Arabidopsis thaliana: one gene and its partner. The protein of the gene in region 2 interacts with the protein of the main gene of each other region in a pairwise test. Each region holds a gene or a part of one and is shown on either strand. Other genes may lie near its edges.

What was found.
Region 1: the proteins of DRB4 (region 2) and AT3G15450 interact in a two-hybrid assay, tested with the Arabidopsis thaliana proteins (one large-scale study listed by BioGRID).

The regions. Positions count from the first base shown.
Region 1 is NC_003074.8:5,211,011-5,214,944, reverse strand, and holds AT3G15450 (aluminum induced protein with YGL and LRDR motifs), read right to left. Parts: upstream 1,962-3,934; 5' UTR 1,896-1,961; coding exon 1,690-1,895; intron 1,600-1,689; coding exon 1,235-1,599; coding exon of another isoform or gene 1,179-1,234; exon of another isoform or gene 1,138-1,178; coding exon 947-1,137; 3' UTR 824-946; downstream 1-823. Other genes in the region: AT3G15460 (Ribosomal RNA processing Brix domain protein), read left to right, coding at 1-95, 183-251, 339-437, 532-666; AT3G15440 (RING/U-box protein), read left to right, coding at 2,591-3,022; AT3G15430 (Regulator of chromosome condensation (RCC1) family protein), read right to left, coding at 3,383-3,712.
Region 2 is NC_003074.8:23,224,800-23,229,326, forward strand, and holds DRB4 (double-stranded-RNA-binding protein 4), read right to left. Parts: upstream 2,714-4,527; 5' UTR 2,648-2,713; intron 2,376-2,647; 5' UTR 2,365-2,375; coding exon 2,134-2,364; intron 2,045-2,133; coding exon 1,663-2,044; intron 1,405-1,662; coding exon 950-1,404; 3' UTR 727-949; downstream 1-726. Other genes in the region: AT3G62810 (complex 1 family protein / LVR family protein), read left to right, coding at 2,964-3,204, 3,302-3,381. UniProt on the Arabidopsis thaliana protein: Double-stranded RNA-binding protein involved in RNA-mediated post-transcriptional gene silencing (PTGS). Functions in the trans-acting small interfering RNAs (ta-siRNAs) biogenesis by binding and assisting DICER-LIKE 4 (DCL4). Required for DCL4 activity.

The DNA of each region.
Region 1 (3,934 bases), about 18 Mb from region 2:
GAATTCCCGAGGGACATAGGAAGTCTAAACCTTACCATGACCATGTGTTTGTTTTCTCCATTGTTGATGACCATATATGGTTCCGTAATTACCAGGTAAGTTGAAATTTTAGCATCTCTCATGCTCTCATTTCATTTCAGTTTGGAAACGTTTCGTTTAACTAGCCAAGGCTTCCATTGCAGATATCGGTACCTCATAACGAGTCAGACAAGATTGCACGAGGCGATCTGGATAAAATGACTCTTATTGAGGTCAGGCCATGACTATATATATACTAACACTAACTTACATAATTTCTGAAGAATTAGTTGTTGATTGAAGTAAAAACCTGATGACAGGTTGGTCCAAGGTTTTGTTTAAATCCAATTAAGATATTTGGAGGCAGCTTTGGAGGTACAACGCTTTACGAGAACCCATTCTATGTATCTCCAAACCAGGTACTTGGTTCTTCTATAAGCAACTTGATAGATCACATTGCTATATATGATTATCTGTCAGAGTTCTCATATATTCCAATTTCCTGCCTTTTAGATTCGAGCTTTGGAGAAAAGAAATAAAGCTGGGAAATTTGCTAAGAAAATAAAGGCAAAAACAAGAAGAAAGATGCATGAACTCTCAAACCCATTGGAGCCTGATGAATTTACAGACATGTGGAACGATGAATGATAAAAGTCGACCAAAGTTTCTTTTTTGCTATTGTAAACTTCTAAATTCACAAAATCAACACAGTTTTGTCTTTACCACTGCTTTCTTCCCTCCCTCTTATCTATCAAAGAGTGAGATTGCGAATTTATCACACAGTTGTCTAAGTAAAGACTGCTATGTCACGAAGAAGCAAATCAATTTTATTTCTTTATCGTCTTCATAAGGCTATATTTACATAAACAAGAGTACATAAAAAGAAAACGCAACAAAGAAGCAAGAGTTAACGAAACTAGAAGCAAAATCAACGAGAATTAGCCAGCGCCCAGTTAGCTTCACTTCCTCTTCTAGGGATACTATTGATCTTAGAACAAGCATCAACTTTGAAACTAGCTCCACAAAGAACACCTTCACTATCAATCCTCGGCATTGCCTTCATCATATTAGTCGGATGGTCAAAGCTCTTAAGCCCTGTCTCACTATGAAACATACATCCTGCAATAACAAAAACACAAAACACACATCAAGATCTAAACTCAAAAGTATGTTTCTTTCTTTATAGGGCTAATGAAAAACTTAAGTTTTGGTTTACCATTAGGGAAAGGAGCAAACGATTTAGCACAGCCTTGCTTTATGATCTGAATATCATCAGACATTACAACAGATCCGTCTCCAGAAATTCCCCAGTAAAGACTCTCTCCTCCATCAGAACTCAGAGCTGAGAAAACAGAGGAAGTTTGAGTATCGTAGACAACGAAAGCGAAGCTTCCCTCAAGACCTCTAAGAACTTGATCTGCTGGGTAAGGACCACGATCACGAAGTGTTCGATAAGCTTCGATCACAAACATTGCCTCGTTTGAGTTCTTCCCAGATAAACCGTATTGTCGATTCAATGTACAGAGATTATTCAATCTCCCTAGAAACATACAGTAGATCCCATCTAGTCCACAGAACAACCTGAGCAAAACAACAAAACCATTATGAATCTATGAATTGGATTTAGAGATTTGACTTGTATATATGTGTTTTATGTATATTAGTATATACCTTTGACGAAGAGAGGTTTCTTGGCGAGCGTAAGCTAAGACGGCGGAGTCGCCGAAGTTCATAGAGAAAGCATTGTTTTGGTGATGAGAGAGGAAGTCGGAGAGAGTTTCGCCGGGAAGTTTAGGAGTTTTGCCGGAGAAATGAGAAGCCGGACTGTTGAGTTCTTCCGGTGGGTGAGCAAAAGCTTTCTGAAATATTGCCAACATTTTCGTTTTCTTTGTCTTTGATTAATCCAATGCTTGAAATGTGTTATGTTTTTGTTGAAGACAATGAGGGGTTTTATAAAGGTACGAGATTATTATTACACGAGATGCTGACTTGGATTTTAAGATAAGACTGACATGTCTTACGTGTTCTTATCCGTTTCTTTTTAGACAAAATTATTCTGTAGTTAATCTTTTTTTTTAAAGTGTCTGGTAGGTAAATAAACAAATTGTGAATCCAATGATGATTAGATATTTAATCTGACGAGTAAATCTTTTTGGAATGATATGATTTTTTAAACGTGCCACGATAGAAAAGTAGTATGTTTTTTTTTTGTCATGTTGGAAAAGTGGTAGGATATTTTTTGACAGCGAAATAGTTAAGTGAAATATGATTTTGAATATATGAGATATTTTATTAATACAATCATATAAGATATTTTAAATATCGGAATATCTATTTATGGTTCATCGAACCTTAACGATATGTATGAATGTTAACTTTTGTAGTTATGATCAATCTAATTTAATGAAGAATTCCTATTGTAACTATTTCCTAAAATCTCGTATTCAATCCCAACAATTACTCATTCCTGGTTACAATTTTCCTTTCACACAAATATTTTTTATACACTCTCATAGCTTGAAAAACCTAACTCTCTCTTAACTTCTTTTTTTCCCATCATTGCATAGAGATTATGGAGTGTATTGTGGATGATGTATCGGATAGTACATGTATGGTGACGCCAATCTATTATTCGAAAGAAACAACTCAAGATCGTCAGACTTTTTTGTTTGATTTTGAAGTTGTCTACACAAAAGTGCCTGAGCCAAATAGTGATGGAGAATCTGACTACATGTCCAGTAAGGTTAAAACAAGGACTACAAATCAACTTCAAAGATATGGTCGAGACGAGTTCATTGGTCAAGATGAAGAACAAATCAAAGCCACAATCTACGAAATCCTCAATGATGTTGGTGTTCCTCCGTATCTAGGGATCATGAAAACATTTGCTGAAGAAATTCAAAGCATATTGAATTCACCTCTGGAGAAATTGGAGAAGATAAAAGTAAAGATTGAAGTTGTTGCACACATGTTTCCTGAAGATGATGAGATCGATGTTGAGTGATTTATTATTCTTTTGCATCTTGGTCGTTACAATGATTCCTTCATTTGCTTCTAGGTTGTTTTCAGTTTTTTACTTTTACATTCTATAATGTTCTAAAGACTAAGATATTTTGCTAAGTCTTGAGTGGATCTACTATCACCAAGAGTTAAGGTATTTGTTATTATGTAGTTGAAGTTGTAAAACTTCTTAGATTAATTAACTCATGTCATAATTCTCTGCACTAAGGTGTCTGGAAATATCTTCTATTACTCTCACAACTTGAAGAAATCAAACAGATACAAATCAATACAAGATACACTAACCGGTAAATCCAATCTCAATCCGGTTCATACAAACATGGTTGTTTATCTATACCTTGGATCAACAAAGCCGGCTACGAGAACGGCCACAATGGAGAAAGATTTCGGTAGGTTCTAAGCAGCCACGGAGTGAGTCGTGACCAAGCTGAGCTCTTTCGTTATCTCCAAACCCAAAAATGCGACCACGTTGAGTGACCACAATGGTGTGATACAAACCGGTGCTAACTTGAGAGACACGGTGTGGTTTCAGACACTCCAATACTCTTGGCCTAAGAACTTTGTCTGAAACTCCTCTGTCCGGGAACCCAAGGCTTCCAAACCCCATCCACCCAAATCCATATAGTAATCCACCTTCCACCAAAACAAAAGTCTTCCTTTTTCTTGCACACACCTGCAAGTAAAAGCAGAGTCATGATCAGGGCTGACTAACTGATCCTAAACGGAGCAAAACTCCATACAAACAAAGGCCAACACATCCAGCTTCGGTTTTCTTTACCAAAACCGAAAAATAAACTGAATGTTATACTGAAAATCCTCTAAACTAAAATACTTGTGCTAAGTTTTGATTCTAATTGAACTGATCACTTATTAGTTCTTAGAGACCGCTGAAGGT
Region 2 (4,527 bases):
CTTTTAAAGAAAACAATTGCTTTTCATTGTTTTGGAGAAGGTAGTTCACGCCCATGGCTGTTTCTAAGCTAGGGAATCTTTTCTTATGTGAGAGTGAGAAAAGGTTGTTCAAATATTACCCAGAGACAGACTACCTTTGTTGCCTCTCCAGACTTTTGTGTTATAACTTCTTTCGTCGAAAATTTAGTCTCACTTCGTTCCAGGCCCGACTCAATATTATTTTGGGTTCTGTGCTAAAAAAAAAAATATCCCCTTTAAACCTTTAAATCCAAAAAATTTTAGTTTACGTGGCAGTGTTTACTGTCTCTTGTAAACGTAATACACTTGTAGTTCTATTCAACCATTGTAATTTTATCTAGAAAAATAAAAATTCCTATAAATTAGGACCCTAAAATTTAAGAGAGAAAATAAGGACTCTGTGCCTTGGCACTGCTGGCACACCCTGCTTCGTTCACAACCAGGATCTGTTCGGAAAATCAGCACTTGTGGGTACCAATATGGACTTAGCTATGTACAACCTGAATGTCTTCCGAAAATCATCAGCACATCTCCGCACCGGTCTCGAATATCTAATATCGTGATGGAATTGCTGTTCCCAAATATTTTGCTTACCTCTACTCTAGTGTCTCTAATTATATTCGGTTATCGTTACAAATATTCTACTTGAAGCGGTTACTTATCTAGCTGGTTTTGCTTATGTCTACATCTTACTATTTAATATTTATTCTGTTAAGCTTTTCCATAATCTATTAACATTTAATCTCGCCTTGTTTCTAATAAACACAATGCTTTAAAACAAAAATTAGTCATTACACAGTATACATACTACATAGCATATTGCTTAAGAAAACCAGAGACGAGAAGCATTCTATTTCTACAAACAGATGAGATATAGCTTACCTTAACATTCTATCTCTACACTTATTATGCATCAAAGATGATGATGTCGTTATGGCTTCACAAGACGATAGGCTATAAATTTATCATCTCTAAAGAGCATCTCCGCGTCTTGAGGAAGAGTTATCTCGGGGTTCCATGGGCGACAAACTACATGTTGGCCAGTTGGTATACTCAGGTGGCCAGTTCCCATTATGAGCTTCTTTTTCTCACTCTCATCTACTACACATGATGATGTTTCACTACCATCGTTTGTGGGATTCTGAGGCATCCACGAAGAACAAGCAGCAATGTTCCTCTTGATACCATTGGCAGCTGGTGCATTAAGAGTAATAACGTTTGTAGGATTGTGAGGTATAGGCAAAGAAGAAGAAGCAATGTTCATCTTCATACCATCAGTAGTTAGTGCACTAAGAGTACCATCGTTTGTAGGATTCTCAGGCTCATTCAAAGCAACGTTAATCTCCTTAGCATTACTGGCTGGTGCATCATGAAGATCTGGAAATTCTGCACAGAATCAAGACTGTAGAGCATGAGTTTTGAATGAATTAACCATCTTGACCATTTAGCATTAAACTGAAATTGGAATCCATTTCATGCAGTTAAAGTAAGGTTGGCTTTCTTATTTCATAGCTGTTTCCTACCTATCTCAGGAAAATACGTCCCTCTGATTGGACCACAAGTTATAACAAAGAAAGAGAGTTTTTCCTTTAACAAACAAACCAACGGATTATTCATGTAGTGTAGTATTCAAAGAAAACTAACCATCTTCATTCACTTTAATCCCCTTTGATGGGGTATCAGGGGTCATCACCACCTTGGAAGAAGGTTGAGAATGGATCTCTTGTGGACTGCTCTTCACATTTGAATTTACATCTTCTTGTCTCTCACTAGGCAAAGTAGGCGATCCGGTCTGGTTCGAGTTCCCATTTTTGATACTCATGAATGCAACTTTAGCAGCGCTCATTTCAGCCAACTTTTTGGTTTTCGCCTCTTCTCCACTGAAAACTTTACCAGCAAACTCAACAGTTGAAGTAAAAGTAGGCGCATGCGATGGACCAGATGTAGCAGTTGCATAAAATGGTAACAGAGAACTCTCTTTCTGTGCAATTTCTTGTAACAGGTTCTTGTAGGCAACATCAATTCCCTGAAACAACAAAAATTTGAAAATCAAAATTTAAACAAATGTTGAAAAAGCACATAACTTGTAGTCCAAAAAGAGTGTGAGGAACTAGCCTCTGGACTTTGTGGCGTCAAAGAAGCAACTGCAATTTTTGCAGCGGCATGTTCAGCCGATTTTAGTGTCGGAAAGAATTCAGAGCTCTGGAAAGTCTGTCCACAGAATGTAACATTACATCTAAATCTAGGAGCATGAGGAGGCCCTTCTCTCTCATTCGCATACACTGGTAGCTCCAGATTATGTTGCAGGGCATACGCTTGCAGTTGACCTTTGTATACATGATCCATCTCTATCTAAACTGGCAGGAATTAACCAAACATAAAGAGATCAACGTGTATCAGAATTTCTCAAACATAAATGGCAAACGAAGAGACGAATTTCAGATTTCAGAATTGGTCAACCAAACATAAAGAGATCAACATGACAACATGTATCAGAATTTCTCAAACATAAATGGCAAACGAAGAGACGAATTTCAGAATTGGTCAGACTCAATGATCTAGGGTTTCGTACAGATCGATAACATCAAAACAGCGAAAGGAATCTACGATTATAAACACAAAATCGTACCTCTTTGAAATGGTGAAGACACTTCGAGGGAGGAAGTGAACAATCAGACAAAGCATTCGCTGATTGAAACTCATCGAGAAACCATAATAAGTATACACATGTAAATTGTCTCAAGGATACGAAAGATTCGGGTTAACCCAGCTTGAACGGGTATGATCCGAAATAATCCATTAATGGGCCAAAATTGGGCTTATTCATGAAAGTTGTAAAGGCCCAATGAAACTCGAAGTTGATCAGAAGGTTGTCGGCGACCAAATTTCTAAATCCAATTTTGGGAGGGAGACGACGGCGGAGGTTGAAAGGGGAAAGAGCAGAAATGGTGACCGGAGAAGCGTTGATCGCGTACAGAGCACTGCTCAGGGCAACAAAGAAATCATTCGCCGGAGATACCGAGATGCTAAAAGCTTCGGCGTCCGAGATCCGTAAGAAATTCGAAGAGAATCGCCTCGTGGCTTCTAACTCCGACATCACTCGCCTTCTAGAAGAGGCGCGTGAAGCGACGCAGTTCATTTCCACCATGATCGTCCAGGCTAAACTCAACGAACGCGGCGGATATGGTTCGTTCTGACTCTTTTTATCTTGCGCACCATCTGTTTGTTGAAATGCGTGAGTGAAAGCTCATATCTTTGGAAATTTGATTTTTCTGTGTCGTAGAGATGAAAGCAAGTCAGGAACACGCGGGAGCTACTTTGGAGCTTCCATCAGAGGAGATGCTTCGGAAAAAATCTGTATGAGTGTAAGTCTGAAATTGGATTACTTCTCCCTTACTCGTTTTGTTTGATCGGGAAAGGTGGATCCTTTTTATGCTTCTCTGTTTGTTTTCTCTTTTCACGGCCAAGTTGAATCAATAAGAAGCTCTTTACATACATTTTTGGATGAGATTCGTCCATTTCAAAACAAGAATTACAGAATTCACTTACATCCATGGCTAATATTGATTATGTTGTATGTTAGACTGTAGACCTCACTTTTCTACTTTTCTTAGAAGCATTGTCTTGTCGTAGAGACCCATCTTTTGTGTCATTCTCAAATCTTAGAAGCCTTGTCTTGTCGTAGAGACCCATCTTTTGTATCATTTTCAAATCCATGTCACTTTTATTGTTAGATTGAAATATAATTATTTCCTACATAAGCTTAGGTTTCGTCATCTATCTAGATTTCCTTGTCCCCGATTGTTTCACAGAGTCTGATGGGAAGTTTGAAATAGAGTTGACGCGAGAAGATTGAAGCCGTGATGGTCACTCTAGTTTTTCAAACCAATAAAATAGAACCTATATTGTTGATACGGGGTCCGAGAAGTATGGTTCATTTTCCAATGAAAACCACTACACAATCTGTCAAGATTTACCCCCATTCATGAGTGTCCACAGCATTTGCTCAGAAGTCCTTTTTTATCATCTCCATTCATGATTTTAAGTTCAGAGTTCTAGCTTTCTCTTATTAGTGTCTCAGTCATCTTCTCGCTGGTGTGCAATCCTTAGATTCTTGTGTTGAAGAGCATTGTTTCATAGGAATCATGTGAATCGTCATAACCACATATACTTTGTTCTCTCAATTCATGTGAGTTTGATTCAATTCTTTAGCTGTATTCATAAATGCTCACGCATTACGTGATTATGTTGTATATAAGAACTCACGCACGTCCTAAAGAAAGTAGCCATGTCGTGAATAAAGAAAAAGGTAACTAAAAAAATGGATTCGAAAAGAGATATGGTCATGGGCCTCATGGCGATGACAAAACTACATAATGTAGCTTTTTCGATGTAAGGTACCAAAACCTCATTCCGTACACAACTAGCTCATCTTCCATTTATAAACAGTTTCATATATACCATATATTCGTAGCCATTGATGAAATAAATATTATCATAGAAGGATTT